Arabidopsis thaliana: one gene and its partner. The protein of the gene in region 1 interacts with the protein of each later gene in a biochemical or structural test. Each region holds a gene or a part of one and is shown in the gene's direction. Other genes may lie near its edges.

Region 1 (9,652 bases):
CCTCTCCTCCGATCTCTCCGCCATAAAATCTACTCTTTCTTCTTCTGGGTGTTCAAAGAATTAGTCGTTCTCGCGTATTCACTTTCCATGGCGGGCTTTCTCTCCGTTGTCCGGCGCGTGTACCTCACTCTCTACAATTGGATCGTCTTTGCTGGATGGCAAGTCGAGCTCGACTCTCTTTCTTCTTTTGTCTAGTGGAGTTTTTATTTTTCTCTCGGATTGATTTTTGAATTTTGGTGACATTTGGGGTATTAGGGCTCAGGTTTTGTACTTAGCGATAACGACGTTGAAGGAAACGGGTTATGAGAATGTCTATGACGCCATTGAGAAGCCTCTCCAGCTTGCTCAGACTGCCGCCGTTCTCGAGGTCCGTCTCTCGTGACACAATTCGTGTTTTATTTCTTCTTGTTTTGTTGCATTTCCCGGGTAATTAGAGAAGAAGAAGAATGATTTGGTTCACACTTGTTGCAACTGAGTATTTGTTTTTTTTTTCTTTCCTCTGATTAAAATCTGGATTTTGGAATTTTCCGGGTGTGGAGCAGATTCTTCATGGATTAGTAGGTGAGTGATCTGATCCATTAGACTAATTTCGAACTTGCACTACACCATTTTGATTAAACTCTTTTTAAGATCATTGACTGAGTTGTGTTCTGCTGTGTTGCTAAACTCGAATAGGTTTGGTCAGATCTCCTGTTTCTGCAACTCTGCCACAGATAGGTTCAAGGCTATTTCTCACTTGGGGCATCCTATACAGTTTTCCAGAGGTTAACTTAGAAAGTTACCAGCATTACTAGTTCATTATTTCTCTTTGATTGTTGCAAGTTTCATCATTTGATTGTTGAACTTTGTTTCATTTAATTTCAGGTCCGATCTCATTTTCTTGTTACGTCGCTGGTCATAAGCTGGTCTATCACAGAGGTGATTATATCTAGTCTCTGTGTTGATTTTGGTAGCCATTGATATCGCTCTTACTAGGAGACATTTATTAGATTCGTTGTATGCCATAAATCTGAAATGTCTAAAACATTGCTTCTCTTACTGATGCTTTGAAAGTTTCCTATCACAACATGGATTGTTGAAGTACAGAACAAGAGATTAGCTGTTAATATTTCGAACAGTCAAGATTTGACTTAAGTATGACTCCTTAATTACTCCATTTTGGTTGAAGTCTTATCCTAGTAGCGTCCTTTTAGGATAACGTGCTTCAGTTCATATGTTTGATGAATAACTCGCTCTGAGCGCAGATTATTCGCTACTCATTCTTCGGCTTTAAGGAAGCTCTAGGCTTTGCACCTTCATGGCACTTGTGGCTCAGGTATGCCATTCATGTGCAATATAATAATAGACATTGAAAAACAGATTAATTTGCAACTCTAATCTCATTTATTTCTCTCTCGTTAATCTGTTCAGATACAGCAGCTTTTTATTGCTATACCCTACCGGTATCACCAGCGAAGTTGGTCTTATCTACCTTGCCTTACCACACATCAAGGTAACACAACTGGCTCATGTCAATTCCTTAAACAGAGAACAATTCTTTCCTTTACAATATCATTTCTTTACGGGTTGTTACACCCTTTTGTGTATTAGAATTTAGAGCTCTTAGAGTAGACATGAACTGTTAAAGCCATTTCCCTCAGACTCTAGTAGACAGGATCTGTTTGTTGACTTTCAAGACGTCACTGTAAAATAATCCATATATAGACTTAACTTTAATGCCATCTATAAAGTTTCAGATTTTCTGTTCCACTGGTATCAGGGGAGAGTATATATATGGTTGATTCCTGAATGGTCCCTTTGCTCTTTTTTTTTCTTTTTCTTTTGTCTGCAGACATCGGAGATGTACAGCGTTAGGATGCCTAACATATTGAACTTCTCATTTGACTTCTTCTATGCAACGATACTCGTCCTTGCAATCTATGTCCCAGGCACAAACTCAGTCAACCTTTCTTATAACATATCCCATACATCTGTTCAATTCTGATCTGCGAGACTAAATTTGTATTTGGCTGTTGCAGGTAGCCCACACATGTACAGGTACATGCTTGGTCAGCGAAAGAGAGCTCTCTCCAAATCCAAGAGGGAATAAAAGAAAAGATTTAGAAAGAGACGAAAAAGCTCATCAACTGTTTTCTCCTCTTGTCTTGTTCGTTCATGTACTACTAGTCTACTACTACAACTTGTCTTTTGTTTAGCTTGTTTGAGCTTTTACTTCCTCGGCGATTACTTGAACTTACATGCAGCAGGATACTATTAAGTGTAATGTGGTTTCTAAATTAATAAGAAAATCATTGGTTCCTTCTCAGTAGAAATGAAAAAGTTGATTTAAGCTAAAATTTCCCAAAAAGTCGAAATGGATTCTTAATAATATTTATGAAATTGAAAAAAAATCAAGAAAATTGTGAAATTATTGGGTCATATCGTCTTATCATGGTTTAAATATTTAAATGCTTTTGAGATGATCACGAGTCAAATTTACTTTGCCCAAAATAACTATCAAAACTTGTTTTTTTGTGATATATAAAAGTCAACGTAGTTCGTTAGTGAGAGATTTATCATGGAACACGATAAGGCGTCGTGAAGTAACGCAGATCACAAAATATTTGTGTCTGAAAAGGCATCGGCGTTGTCTATTTTCTTAAATATAAAAATTGAAATAAATATAAACGTCGTCGTTTGGAATCAATCAAAAGGACCTTCTCCGCCTTTCATTATTTTGTATACCAAACCGAGGGAAAAATCCACAGAGATGAACCAAAAATAAAAACAAAAATCTTTGATTATTTCTACAAAAATAAAATTCGAAAACTTTTGAATTCTTTCATTTGGCTTTCGAAGCTGCTGCTTCAATTCTTGCTGCTTTGATTTGATTTTTTTTTTGGATGAAATGGCCGATCAGAGAAGTAAAACCAATAGATGGAACTGGGAGGTGAGTGGGTTCGAACCGAGGAAGTCTTCTTCCAATGCATCGTTTGCGGAGAGTACTGGTCACCGTACGACTGGTCCTCTGCTTCGCCGGAACTCGATTTCGACTCCCTCGCTTCCGCCTAAGCAAGCAATTGCATCTAAGGTTAACGGATTAAAGGAGAAAGTTAAGGTGATAAATTTCACTTCCTTTTTCACTTCACAGAGTATACTTGGCTTTTGGTTTTGAGCTGAATTAATTTTATAAAAGGCTGCTTTTAGTTTCTTAAGTCTAGCTTGTGGGATTTGATGGAAGTTTTTAGTGTTGAAGCCATTACTTATCAAGAAAAAAAATTGTGACTTGGTTGAACAGCTTGCGAAAGAAGATTACTTGGAGTTGAGACAAGAAGCTACTGATCTTCAGGAGTATTCTAATGCTAAGCTTGACAGGGTTACACGTTACTTAGGTGTTTTGGCTGAGAAAAGTCGTAAATTGGGTAAGTTTTGTGTTTCACTAGTCGTAAATTTGAAGTCTATGTAAGTTGTGTGCAAGCATCGAGAAAAACTGAGTATTCATTACATTTGGTGCATTTGTGACCACTGGAGAAGTTAACAACACTAGAATTGGTTGGCATTTTCCCAAAATTGAAACCTTTATTGGAAACTTCATAAATCCATCTACTGTATCTAGCTCTCGTGGTTGCGTTTATTTATCTGTTTTGTGGTGGAAATTTGGTAGTGTGTTGTATTGATTTATCTACGTAAACCACCACAGATCAGTTTGTCCTTGAGACTGAGGCTAGGATATCTCCACTTATCAATGAGAAGAAAAGACTGTTCAATGACTTGTTAACGGCCAAAGGTACACAGCTTCCATAACCAGTATCATCGATCTTTCTATATCGATAATCTTTCTTTGGTATAGGTTCACTGATGTATGATAGTTCTCTGCTACCTGTTGGTTAATGTGGATTTGTTTTTCGTACTTCAGGGAACATAAAGGTATTTTGCCGTGCAAGGCCATTGTTTGAGGATGAAGGTCCCTCTGTTATAGAGTTCCCTGGGGATTGCACCATATGTGTAAACACTAGTGATGATACTCTGTCCAATCCCAAGAAGGACTTTGAATTTGACCGAGTTTACGGACCTCATGTTGGACAAGGTGAGTACCATAGTTCATTGTAAAATGTAGTCTCTCCTTATGTCATGAGCTGTTTCTGGTTTCAATCTACAAAAGCTGCAACAATACGACCTCTGTACTTATACTGTAATTTTTGCTCAGCTGCACTGTTTAGCGATGTCCAACCTTTTGTTCAATCTGCACTGGATGGATCTAACGTCTCCATATTGTCATATGGACAAACTAATGCAGGGAAGACATACACCATGGTAACCATTCTTTTCATTTTCCTCTGAAAGTTAACAAATAGGTCACATGTTGATGTTGTGAAGCAACTATATAGATGGACTTGCTGTTACTTTCTAGTGTCTAGCTTTGCTTGTATGTGAGAATTTAACATAGCTTATGATGTATATGCGGTTACTTTTCTTTTGAAGAATATGCTCATTCTATAGCTCTCATGCGTTCATTTGCTTAATTACATGCTTATTCTTCTTCTATCGGGTTCAGAATTGAGCCTGGGATAAGCTTCTTTCTGGAGTTATGACATATGTAGGATGCATATCAAACTGATTTTGTTAGTATAACAACATGCTTTCTTTAATATCTGAAGTGAATATTGTGTCTACATTATCGTGTACATTCACAGGCATGTTTCTATGTTGAATGAGGTCGTTAATCATAGGACTGTCTATTTTCACAGTGATTTGTTATTCCCTATGGCTCTCCGTTTTATCAGCTTTGTTGATTGTTGTTTTGCCAGGAAGGTTCGAATCACGATCGTGGTTTATATGCTCGATGTTTTGAGGAACTCTTCGACCTAGCCAATTCGGATTCAACTTCGACATCACGATTCAGTTTCTCTCTTTCAGTGTTTGAGATCTATAATGAACAGGTGCTTCCAATCGAGTTTAAGTACTAATACTTTTGGGTTTCATTTTCTTTGCCAAGATAGTTCTGCAGTGGAATTTGACACTTCTAATTTGACAACCTTCATTGTCAGATCAGGGATCTACTTTCGGAAACTCAGAGCAACTTGCCCAATATCAACATGGATTTACATGAATCTGTTATAGAACTCGGACAGGAAAAAGTTGATAATCCATTGGAGTTCTTAGGAGTCTTAAAATCTGCATTTCTGAACCGGGGCAACTATAAATCAAAATTTAATGTGACACATCTGTATGTTTTATATTGTGCTTGAATACCTCCTTCGGTTACATGCATATAATTATCTGCTAAGGACCAAGATTCTTTAGCACTTCTTTACGGATGTTTTCTGCCTTGGTAGGATTGTCTCAATACACATATACTATAGCAACACGATTACTGGAGAAAACATATATAGCAAGCTCTCTCTGGTTGACTTGGCTGGAAGTGAAGGTTTAATCATGGAAAATGATAGTGGAGACCACGTCACTGATCTGCTGCATGTCATGAATTCGATTTCAGCGTATGTTAAATTCTTATATCTCTGTATTTATCCATGAATTTGTTCTTGTTAACTTTGTTTATGCATATATTTCTGGTTCTATAGGTTGGGAGATGTTTTATCCTCGTTGACATCCGGAAAGGATTCAATTCCTTATGATAATTCAATTCTTACAAGAGTACTTGCAGATTCCCTAGGTAAAATTTGTTATCTCAGTACATGCATCTTTCCTCTTTTGTGTCACCCTTAATAGTATCATCTTTTGTTTTTGTTTTTGTTTTGCCACCATTTCTTAAAGCTCTTTGTAAGTGAGATACAATATTCTGTAATGTGTAGGAGGAAGTTCCAAAACATTGATGATCGTTAACATCTGTCCAAGTGTGCAAACCTTGTCTGAGACAATCTCATGTCTCAATTATGCTGCTAGAGCTCGGAATACTGTACCAAGCCTTGGCAATCGAGATACAATCAAGAAATGGAGAGATGTGGTAAGTGGAAGTGAAAGAGATTTTTCCTTCTCGGATATTCATTTTGTTACAAAATTTGCTGCATAGGTAACCTTTTGTCCCGCAGGCAAGTGATGCTCGGAAGGAGCTGTTGGAGAAGGAGAGAGAAAATCAGAATCTGAAACAAGAGGTTGTGGGCTTAAAAAAAGCTCTTAAAGATGCAAATGACCAGTGTGTATTACTCTACAGTGAAGTGCAGAGAGCGTGGAAAGTTTCATTTACATTGCAATCAGATTTAAAGGTCATAAAGCTTCACCAGGGTTCTTGTTTAGCTTGTCAACAATTCTTTATAACTTTTTTGTTGTTGCTCATTATCCGTTTTGTACTTCATGCAGTCAGAGAATATTATGCTTGTAGACAAACATAGACTAGAGAAGGAGCAGAATTCTCAGTTAAGGAATCAAATAGCTCAATTTTTACAGTTGGATCAGGAACAGAAGCTGCAAATGCAACAACAAGATTCCGCCATTCAAAATCTCCAGGTTTGTGCCCCATGAGTGTTAGTATCTACGCTTTAAAGTTTTAGATCTATGTTAAGGCAACTGATTTTTGAAATTGTTGACTTCTCTGTACATGATAGACATATAATTCTCCTGTTGTTCAATTCAAATTAATGCAGGCTAAAATTACAGACTTGGAATCACAAGTAAGTGAAGCCGTTAGATCTGACACAACAAGAACAGGAGATGCCTTGCAATCTCAGGACATATTTTCTCCAATACCAAAAGCGGTTGAGGGTACAACTGATTCTTCTTCTGTTACCAAGAAACTTGAGGAAGAATTGAAAAAACGTGATGCACTGATTGAGGTTCTCCTCCCTCTTACTCTGATTAGAGTTCGTGCCCTCTGGCTGAACCATGGATATTTGCACTAGTACATTTATCTGAAGAGAATTATGTTTTCCGCAGAGGTTGCATGAAGAAAACGAAAAGTTGTTTGACAGATTAACAGAAAGGTCAATGGCTGTTTCGACCCAGGTCATTATTTTCTCTTGTATAGCTATGCTATATTAAGCATTTCAATATCATATCAAGGCACTGCTCTCAGCTGTTAAGAGAAAAATTAATTTAACTCCATTCTTTACAAATTGCTACTGTATGTTCAACACTATGCATCTGGAGGTTTACTTGCTACCAGTACTCCATTGCTTAAGTGTTCTTATCCATTTTTTTTTTATTAGGTGTTGAGTCCCTCATTAAGAGCTTCGCCAAACATTCAGCCTGCCAATGTTAACAGGTGATTCCGTGATTAGTTTGAACTACTGTTTTCTGTTTCTGTCCTTTCATTATAATTAATCCTTATTATATACTGATATGTAATATTCTGTCTCCGGGAGAACTAGTAGGGGTGAAGGATATTCGGCAGAAGCCGTTGCTTTACCATCTACACCAAATAAGAATAACGGAGCGATTACGTTAGTAAAATCTGGCACTGATTTAGTAAAAACCACTCCAGCTGGAGAATACTTGACAGCTGCATTGAATGACTTTGACCCTGAAGAATATGAAGGTCTTGCTGCCATTGCTGACGGCGCAAACAAGCTACTAATGCTGGTACTTGGTTAAGAACTAGTTTCTTAGTATCTTTATTAGACTTTTCAGTGGTGTAGTTATATGACATGACACCATTGTTCTATCATAATATGAAGAATGAAGGTTATGATGGATTCCTGATGTCTCTAGACACTAATATCGGTTAAGGACATGTTTTTATATCAACTTATATTGGCAAGCATTTTTCCTATTGTTGACTCGCAGGTTTTGGCAGCTGTCATCAAGGCTGGTGCTTCCAGAGAGCATGAAATCCTTGCTGAGATTAGAGATTCTGTCTTTTCATTTATTCGGAAAATGGAACCAAGAAGAGTAATGGATACCATGCTTGTTTCCCGAGTTAGGATACTATACATAAGGTCCTTACTGGCACGATCACCGGAGCTTCAGACTATCAGGGTGAGCATAGGCATCCGAGTTGTATCTGATTTTTATTTTAGCTTTGGCCTTAGCTTGTATGACTATGTTATTTCTCCTGGTAAAATTAACCCTATCCTCCTCATTTAGGTCTCTCCTGTCGAGTGCTTTCTTGAGAAGCCTAATACTGGTAGAAGTAAAAGCACTAGCAGGGGTAGCAGCCCAGGTAGATCCCCTGTTCGATATCTTGATACGCAGATCCATGGCTTTAAAGTAAATATAAAGGCAGAAAGGAGAAACAAGTTGGCATCTGTGGTATCAAGAATGCGTGGACTTGAACAGGTGGATTTACCTTGGAAGAGCACTTGAATTTCAAAGATGCTTGAGTTTATCTAACATGTTATATATTAAGAGAGACTTATGCTCTTGATTGTTATCATCTAGGATGCTGGGAGGCAGCAAGTTACTGGAGTTAAGCTGCGGGAAATGCAAGATGAAGCCAAAAGTTTTGCTATTGGGAACAAAGCCTTGGCTGCGTTATTTGTTCACACTCCGGCTGGTGAACTGCAGCGACAGATTCGGCTATGGCTTGCAGAAAATTTTGAGTTTCTTTCCGTGACCTCAGATGATGTATCGGGAGGAAACGGTGGCCAACTAGAGCTTCTTTCCACAGCAATTATGGATGGTTGGATGGCTGGACTAGGGGCCGCTGTGCCACCTCATACAGATGCTCTCGGGCAGCTTCTGTCCGAGTATGCAAAACGTGTCTATACTTCTCAAATGCAGCACATGAAGGTATGCGATGTCATTGGTCAAAAAATATTTTTTGAGTGGAATTGGCAGATAGACATTCCCAATGGTCTGAAATGAAAGATCTCTTTAAGTAGCTGATGTTGTGGCTGACTTTACGGCCTATGTTGAGGTCTAAGGACTAAGGTTTTAGTCTGAGTAATTAGTTTGGAGTGATGCCTAATATGGAACTGTGGTACAGGATATTGCTGGTACCTTGGCGGCAGAAGAGGCAGAAGATGCTGGTCAAGTGTCTAAGCTTCGATCAGCTCTTGAGTCCGTTGACCACAAAAGAAGAAAGGTACTAGACCGCACCTGAAAATAAACGATATAGTTCTGGGTGCTTTGATTTTTATCTTAGAAACGTTCTTGTGCTCTGACTTTCGTTTGCTTTCTTTATCAGATTTTACAACAAATGAAAAGTGATGCAGCTTTGCTTAACCTGGAAGAAGGCAGTTCTCCTATTCCAAACCCTTCGACGGCAGCTGAAGACTCAAGATTAGCATCTCTCATTTCTCTGGATGGCATTTTGAAGCAAGTCAAGGTATTTATACCTCATGATGCTTCATACTAGATCTTGGTTTTTGGTTAATTTTTGGTCAATAACTTATTTTGCATCTTGCAGGAAATCACAAGACAAGCCTCTGTCCATGTTTTGAGTAAAAGCAAGAAGAAAGCATTACTTGAGTCCCTTGATGAACTCACTGAGCGGATGCCTTCTCTTCTTGATATCGACCATCCATGCGCACAAAGAGAAATTGCTACAGCACACCAGTTGGTCGAGGTACCTTTGATTTCCATGTATAATTAGTTTATGTATAATCAGTTTCTCAATGAACCTACCATAGACACAAAGAACTCTACCTGATATAATGATGAGATCCGGATTGAAATAGTAAACAAACTAACTTGTTTCTCTTGACCGCAGACGATTCCTGAACAAGAGGACACTAATATTCTGGAACAATCACACGACCGGAGACCCTCATTAGAA
Region 2 (7,232 bases), on another chromosome or scaffold:
ATCCTAATTGGAAAATTTCTCCATCAGGTTCAGGTCTCGATCGAATTGATTTGAAATGGGTTCGTTTGGGATGCTTTCGAGGAGAACGTTGGGCACTGATATGCCCGTCATGGCTCAGGTCAAACCTCGTACTTCTCCACTTCCATTTTCATTTGATTTGATTTGATTGGTCTCTTGTCTTTTTTTCTTTAAAGTGAGAAATTGTTGGGGTTTTGCGTGCAGATTCGGAGTTTGATGGCGGAATTGACGAACCCCATGTCTCTCGCCCAGGTTTTGCCCTCTCTAGAAATGTGTGTTTTATTTATAATCTAATCTAGTTTAGTTCACAAAAGACTTGGGCTTTCGTGAGTGGTCACCTTCTTTGGCTATACTTTGTCTGGAGTTTTGTTTTGTCTGCAGGCTGATTCTTTTGCTCATGTGCTTTTCAGGGAGTGGTGCATTGGCAGCCTCCTCAAAAGGCCTTAGAGAAGGTCAAGGAGCTTGTCTGGGATCCTATCATTAGTTCTTATGGCCCCGATGAAGGTCTTCCCGAGTTGAGACAGGCTCTTCTCAAAAAGGTAATCGCACCGTACTGAACCATTCTTCTAGCTAGCTCTGGCAACCTTTCTTGTATCCAATAAAGTGACCACTTTTGCTGCTCTTGAATCCAATTCCGTGACTGAGCTTGTTTTATTTTTGATTCCTTGTCTTGTTCTGAAGCTGCGTGAAGAAAACAAGCTAACCAATTCACAAGTGATGGTTACTGCAGGTGCCAATCAGGTATAACCTGTCTTTGTTTACTCTTTTGATTGCTCTTCCTTCTGTTTTCTTCTACTCTCATACTCTGTTTCTGTTTTTGCATCTAATGTAGGCGTTTGTGAACCTTGTTATTACATTATGTGATGCTGGTGATTCGGTTGTCATGTTTGAGCCATACTACTTCAACTCCTACATGGCCTTTCAGATGACAGGAGTCACCAACATAATTGTTGGTCCTGGCCAGTCAGACACTCTCTATCCTGACGCTGGTACCTCCTTGATTCTGTATCACGTTTTTCATGACTTAACATAGCTTTAGTTGTGACCAGTGAATCATTTTTGTTCCAGACTGGTTAGAGAGGACACTGTCTGAGTCTAAACCGACTCCGAAAGTTGTAACTGTTGTGAATCCTGGTAACCCAAGTGGCACCTATGTCCCTGAACCGCTGCTTAAGAGGATTGCTCAAATATGCAAAGATGCAGGGTGCTGGCTGATTGTAGATAACACATACGAGTGAGTTTCTCATTTCCTTAATTCCTATGATGTCCAAATTGAATGTAGTAATAAGCGGGGATTTGAAAATCGCAGGTATTTCATGTATGACGGTTTAAAACATTGTTGCGTTGAGGGAGACCACATTGTTAATGTCTTCTCTTTCTCTAAAACCTATGGCATGATGGGTTGGAGGCTTGGATATGTGAGTGCTCGATTCAATTCTATTCCAAACTAAACACTGGGATTGTCTTATAAAAAGGTTTGATGGACCTGCAGATAGCTTACTCAGAGAGATTAGATGGGTTTGCAACAGAGCTTGTGAAAATTCAGGACAACATCCCAATCTGTGCTGCCATAATCTCGCAGCGACTGGCTGTATACGCATTAGAGGAAGGTTCTGGGTGGATAACGGAACGGGTAAAGAGTCTAGTGAAGAACAGGGATATTGTGAAAGAGGCGCTTGAGCCGCTGGGGAAGGAGAACGTTAAGGGAGGAGAAGGAGCGATATACCTGTGGGCAAAACTGCCAGAGGGACACAGAGATGATTTCAAGGTGGTGCGGTGGCTGGCTCACCGCCATGGTGTGGTGGTGATCCCGGGGTGTGCAAGTGGTAGCCCCGGGTATCTCCGGGTTTCCTTTGGAGGGTTGCAGGAGGTTGAAATGAGAGCTGCAGCGGCGAGGCTGAGGAAAGGAATAGAGGAGCTGCTTCACCATGGAATGGTGGAGTGAGACGTTGTTTAAAGAAGGGTCAAAAGATGGTTACTTTGCGTTTGGTTGAAGCTATATAGTTGTTTTAAAAAGAAATAAAAGAGTGTTTGTTTATTCAATAATCAATATAGCTGATTCTTCTTTACAAAGTCATTGTATTTGGGATGTTGTTACCAATGGTTGAATCCTTAACCCCTTTGGTGTATGTATATACTCTTTACTTATTCAAATGAATAATCCAGCAATGAATGCAAAAGCAAAAACTGGATCAGCTTTATTCGTTATGAGTCTTTCTCTAAATTCAAAAATTTAAATTCGAGTCTTATGATTGACGTTATGACTTGTGAGAAATTGATAATCTGGCCTTTTATTTGAAATTTTAATTTCTGAACCCAGAGGATAAATAAAGTTAAAATCGATGATGATTTTAGGCTTTATTGGTTTGAAAGTGGGCCGTAGATGGGCCCGAATCTAAAATATTTGAATCGAACCCGAATAAAGAAAGAGAGGTTGGATCATAACTACCATCGACGTGGCTTCCATCTTCTTCTACTTTGTCTTCCATCTTCGCCGACGAGTCACATCTCCGAAATCCGGAGCCGGAGAGGGAGAAAGAAGGAGAATTTGGGTTCTCCGAGATCGAAGCTCTTGCCTCGGAACCCTTGATTTTGTTTTGGAATAGGCTATTTTTTTAGTAAAAGAGGAAATGGTGGGAAGTAGTAATTCGTTAGCGGGTCTACAAGACCACTTGAAATTAGCGAGAGAATATGCACTAGAAGGATCCTATGACACATCTGTCATCTTCTTCGATGGCGCCATTGCTCAGATCAACAAGTAAGTAGCTCCTCTTATCTCTCCAGTCTTGAATCTAGCTTTTTTGTCACCCCTTTTGGCAATTTCTTCAAGCCCTAAGCTACTTTAATAGTTTCGTGTTGGATTGTATTGAAATGGGCTTAGAAAAATCTAGAATTTTGCAATGTTCACCGTGCAATGTCTGTGTAGACAGAGATAGAACACTCTTATGTGCTGCGTTAGTGGTTCTGAAGCTATGGTATACTGTTTTAGGCATTTAAACACCCTTGACGATCCTTTGGCCCGGACCAAATGGATGAACGTTAAAAAGGCCATAATGGAAGAGACGGAAGTTGTGAAGCAATTGGATGCAGAGAGGAGAGCATTTAAAGAAGCTCCCACTGGGCGTCGCGCTGCTTCTCCACCTATCAATACCAAATCATCCTTTGTTTTTCAGCCCTTGGATGAGTATCCAACTTCATCCGGTGGTGGTCCTATGGATGATCCTGATGTGTGGAGGCCTCCTACCCGTGATGTTACTAGTCGAAGACCCGCCAGGGCTGGTCAAACTGGTACTAGAAAATCACCTCAAGATGGGGCTTGGGCTCGTGGCCCTACTACACGGACCGGTCCAGCTTCCCGTGGTGGCAGAGGTGGGGCTACTAGTAAGTCAACTGCAGGTGCCCGCTCTTCCACTGCCGGAAAGAAGGGAGCTGCCTCAAAATCTAACAAGGCTGAGTCTATGGTAAGTTATATGTTTTTGCCTTTTGGTATTGCACAATAGAGAAGGTTAAACTTGAAAATTTTCCATCAATCAATATTGACTATGGCATTTCCATTTCCATTACTTTACTTTGGTGATAGACAGGATGTCATGAAACTTCGAAGTTGTTATGTTATAGTAGGACTGATGTATCAAAGATCATGATTTCTGTTACGTTTATGAATGTCTAATTCTGAAATCTGTATTTAGAAACTTTAGAGTCATGGCCATGTTTCCTGTGGTTATGTTGAGTCGGTAGTTTCCACCTATTTTCAACAACTAATAAAACTTTCGGCTTCCTCGTTGATATCAGAATGGTGATGCTGAAGATGGGAAGTCAAAAAGGGGATTGTATGAGGGACCTGATGAGGACCTGGCTGCTATGCTTGAAAGGGATGTGTTGGACTCAACTCCTGGTGTCCGTTGGGATGATGTTGCAGGTTTGTCTGAAGCCAAAAGGCTGCTTGAGGAGGCAGTTGTCCTTCCTTTATGGATGCCCGAATACTTTCAGGTACTTTGATTCTGCTCCATACGCTGTGAAATTTGGATTCTATATTACTATTATTAGACATGGAGCAATCATACAGAATAACAGTTTCAATTCATCATTTCCGTAGACTTTATATTTGATCTTCCAGGTATAGAGGATACTTAATTTGATTGTTTTTGTTTCCCTTCAGGGTATTCGAAGACCATGGAAAGGAGTTCTCATGTTTGGTCCTCCTGGGACAGGTAAAACCCTGTTGGCAAAAGCTGTTGCAACTGAGTGTGGTACCACCTTCTTCAATGTATCTTCTGCTACATTAGCTTCAAAATGGCGTGGAGAGAGTGAGCGCATGGTCAGATGCCTGTTTGATCTGGCTAGGGCATATGCTCCAAGCACAATTTTTATTGATGAGATCGACTCTCTCTGCAATTCTCGGGGGTAAATTTTCCTGACGATACTGAGATTTCGATACTGAAATGAAAAGTATTTGTAATTGGTGGAGGTGTGATGCAGGGGTTCTGGAGAGCATGAATCATCAAGAAGGGTGAAATCGGAACTCCTAGTTCAAGTAGATGGAGTGAGCAATACAGCGACAAATGAAGATGGTAGTCGCAAAATAGTAATGGTATTGGCAGCTACCAACTTCCCGTGGGACATAGATGAAGCTCTCAGGTTTAAATATTCTTTGAGTTAATGCCGTCTTTAGACTTGCTCTAATATAATGAAATTGCTGATTCTGGAGCTCACGTTGGTGCAGGAGGAGGTTGGAAAAACGTATATATATCCCACTTCCAGATTTTGAAAGTCGTAAGGCTCTTATCAATATCAATCTGAGAACAGTTGAGGTTAGTTGTGGATACATTGTTACAACACTCGCAAATCTCTCTACTGGTCCAACGCAATCAATTTAGCAATGAACATTGTCACTTTTCAGGTGGCGAGTGATGTTAACATTGAAGATGTGGCCCGGAGAACGGAAGGGTACAGTGGAGACGATCTGACTAACGTGTGCAGGGACGCATCAATGAACGGGATGCGGCGTAAGATAGCGGGGAAAACGAGAGATGAGATAAAGAACATGTCGAAAGACGATATATCAAATGATCCAGTGGCAATGTGTGATTTCGAAGAGGCCATTAGGAAAGTGCAACCGAGTGTGTCTTCCTCTGATATCGAGAAACACGAGAAGTGGCTCTCTGAGTTTGGATCTGCTTAATTAAACCCACTTTTTTTAATTTAGTGTCAAAAGATGTGTGCCTTTTCTTGTGTGTTGTTGTTTATTGTATCATTATTATTATTTGCCAGTCATTTAACATATTCTTATGTTTCTATATTCCAAACTTGTAAACCTCTACGAAAAAAGAAAAGGATTATATGATTTTCTTCGGTTTTTTGGCTTCAGACTTAGTGTTCATAATTTCTTTACTGTCTTAGAAGAAAAAAACCAGCAAAGAATCACCTTGGTCTTTGTATCTCCAATACGTTGCAATCATTTTGAAAGTATTTGTATATTTTGTAAATGATAGGGATTGAAACATCATCCTATCGTTGACCAAAAATTTCACTGCGTGCTATATAAAATACTATATATGTTACCCTTTAACTGATGAAAATGTAAAGAGACAAGGCAGCACCGTTTATCATCAGACCAGTTTCGAGAGTGTTCCTGCATCGTTGGGCTCCCTCCTCAATTTTGTCTACGTGATTATATATCATATCGTCTACAAACAAAATAAATACAATTCTATCATATGAATATGTGATCATCGATGATCGATCAATATATGTTTTCGAGGTGACGTATATAGTATATTTCCGTAGAGACGGCGAAGAACATGATATCTCTGCATGCCTCCAATCAAATCTTTACACTTCATCCTTCTTCGTTACTTGTTCAGTTGTTCCTTTCTAATCCCGACAACCCTTAATTTGTATTTCTATATTAGATCGAAATATCTCATTTGTGATAAATAAAATAAAAAAAATCAAAGAAAGCTATAGAGAAGCTGCGTGCATGCATGGGTTGGCGATGTTTGGCTTGTTATGTTTGGCTTGTTATGTGGCATTATCTGTATGTATATTACCCTAAATCACATCTACGACATTTCCCTCGATCTTCAAAATATGCCAGCAATCTTCATGTTTCCTCATATCTCTTAACATTGGAAAATGTCTTTTGACCTCTTTTGATGTATTTTAAATTACTTCGAGCTCATCTATATTACAAATCATTCATGGTGAATTATTGTCCAGCCAATAGAATAGAAATCTGAATATAATGTGTACCACATCTTTTATGTAATTTATACGATATTCTTTTTCCTGAGAATGATCAAATAACAACATGCATGAATTGCTGCCAGAAAACGTCAGATTGATCAGTTATCACTACAATTATCAATTAACTAGTAAATAGTATCAAAATGTACGTAGTGCCCATCTATAGCTAGCTAAGGAGGACTCCGGATGTAGAGAAAAGCTAAAATGTGACTTGCTAGAGTTGTATTATATTGAATTTTCTAAACTAATAGTATCTTTTTTACAGATAATAATTTCCGGAAAACCTATTAGATGTATAGATATAACAATAAGCATCGATACCAACCTTTTACTTCCAAAAAAAAATAAAAAAAAAATGCCAAGATGAGATAATTTTGTCAATTTCAATTAGTGGGAAAATAACAATTGTCGTGTTATTTTTGAACCAACGCATCTCAGTGAATGATTTCCCAGTTCTTAAGATTTTAGGACATACTTTCCCAGTAACATCTAATCCGTTTGGGCATAAACAAGACAATTTGTAGTTATGTACATTTCTTAGTGATGTGTGTTGAAAAGATATGAATCAATGAGGTCCGACATATTTTGTCAATACGTTAGTGGTGTTTCAAAATAAATTTTTAGTATATATATTAAAATAAGACCAAAGGATAGGCTTTAGTGGTGTTTCAGGTATAGTTTTAATAATCAATTCAAAATAAGTCGAAAGGATATGTAAGATAGGCGTTATTTCAACGTGGATCATTATCAACCATGTCAAAAACGCATTTCAACTCCTAGATGTGTTGTTAGTTATATATGTTCCAAATGGAATCGACCCAACAGAAAAAGAGAAAAAAACGTAAAAGGTTATGCGATTCCAGGGACGTCTCATATATATATATATTCCGATGAAATATAAATATAATTATCGTGGTCTGTGACAATAAATATGGAAATAGATGTGGAAATCATGATCATGTGAAGAA

What was found.
Region 2: the proteins of KAC1 (region 1) and ERH3 form a complex in vitro, tested with the Arabidopsis thaliana proteins (one study listed by BioGRID).

The regions. Positions count from the first base shown.
Region 1 is NC_003076.8:3,290,484-3,300,135, reverse strand, and holds the start of KAC1 (kinesin like protein for actin based chloroplast movement 1), read left to right. Parts: upstream 1-2,762; 5' UTR 2,763-2,887; coding exon 2,888-3,097; intron 3,098-3,277; coding exon 3,278-3,401; intron 3,402-3,679; coding exon 3,680-3,766; intron 3,767-3,895; coding exon 3,896-4,066; intron 4,067-4,186; coding exon 4,187-4,293; intron 4,294-4,787; coding exon 4,788-4,919; intron 4,920-5,027; coding exon 5,028-5,206; intron 5,207-5,315; coding exon 5,316-5,477; intron 5,478-5,561; coding exon 5,562-5,653; intron 5,654-5,792; coding exon 5,793-5,944; intron 5,945-6,029; coding exon 6,030-6,203; intron 6,204-6,297; coding exon 6,298-6,444; intron 6,445-6,581; coding exon 6,582-6,770; intron 6,771-6,870; coding exon 6,871-6,939; intron 6,940-7,142; coding exon 7,143-7,198; intron 7,199-7,304; coding exon 7,305-7,515; intron 7,516-7,719; coding exon 7,720-7,911; intron 7,912-8,019; coding exon 8,020-8,211; intron 8,212-8,313; coding exon 8,314-8,664; intron 8,665-8,860; and 7 more. Other genes in the region: PAS2 (Protein-tyrosine phosphatase-like, PTPLA), read left to right, coding at 88-158, 256-367, 543-561, 676-764, 865-918, 1,054-1,080, 1,245-1,315, 1,411-1,492 and 2 more. UniProt on the Arabidopsis thaliana protein: Kinesin-like protein required for chloroplast movements and anchor to the plasma membrane. Mediates chloroplast movement via chloroplast actin (cp-actin) filaments. Required for the chloroplast avoidance response under high intensity blue light.
Region 2 is NC_003070.9:30,203,467-30,210,698, reverse strand, and holds ERH3 (P-loop containing nucleoside triphosphate hydrolases superfamily protein), read left to right. Parts: upstream 1-2,430; 5' UTR 2,431-2,648; coding exon 2,649-2,776; intron 2,777-3,007; coding exon 3,008-3,479; intron 3,480-3,810; coding exon 3,811-4,008; intron 4,009-4,177; coding exon 4,178-4,422; intron 4,423-4,497; coding exon 4,498-4,656; intron 4,657-4,741; coding exon 4,742-4,829; intron 4,830-4,918; coding exon 4,919-5,200; 3' UTR 5,201-5,385; downstream 5,386-7,232. Other genes in the region: AT1G80360 (Pyridoxal phosphate (PLP)-dependent transferases superfamily protein), read left to right, coding at 56-118, 223-270, 429-557, 700-759, 851-1,007, 1,087-1,252, 1,328-1,436, 1,511-1,963. UniProt on the Arabidopsis thaliana protein: Severs microtubules in vitro in an ATP-dependent manner. Required for oligomerization of functional KTN80-KTN1 complexes that catalyze microtubule severing. This activity may promote rapid reorganization of cellular microtubule arrays.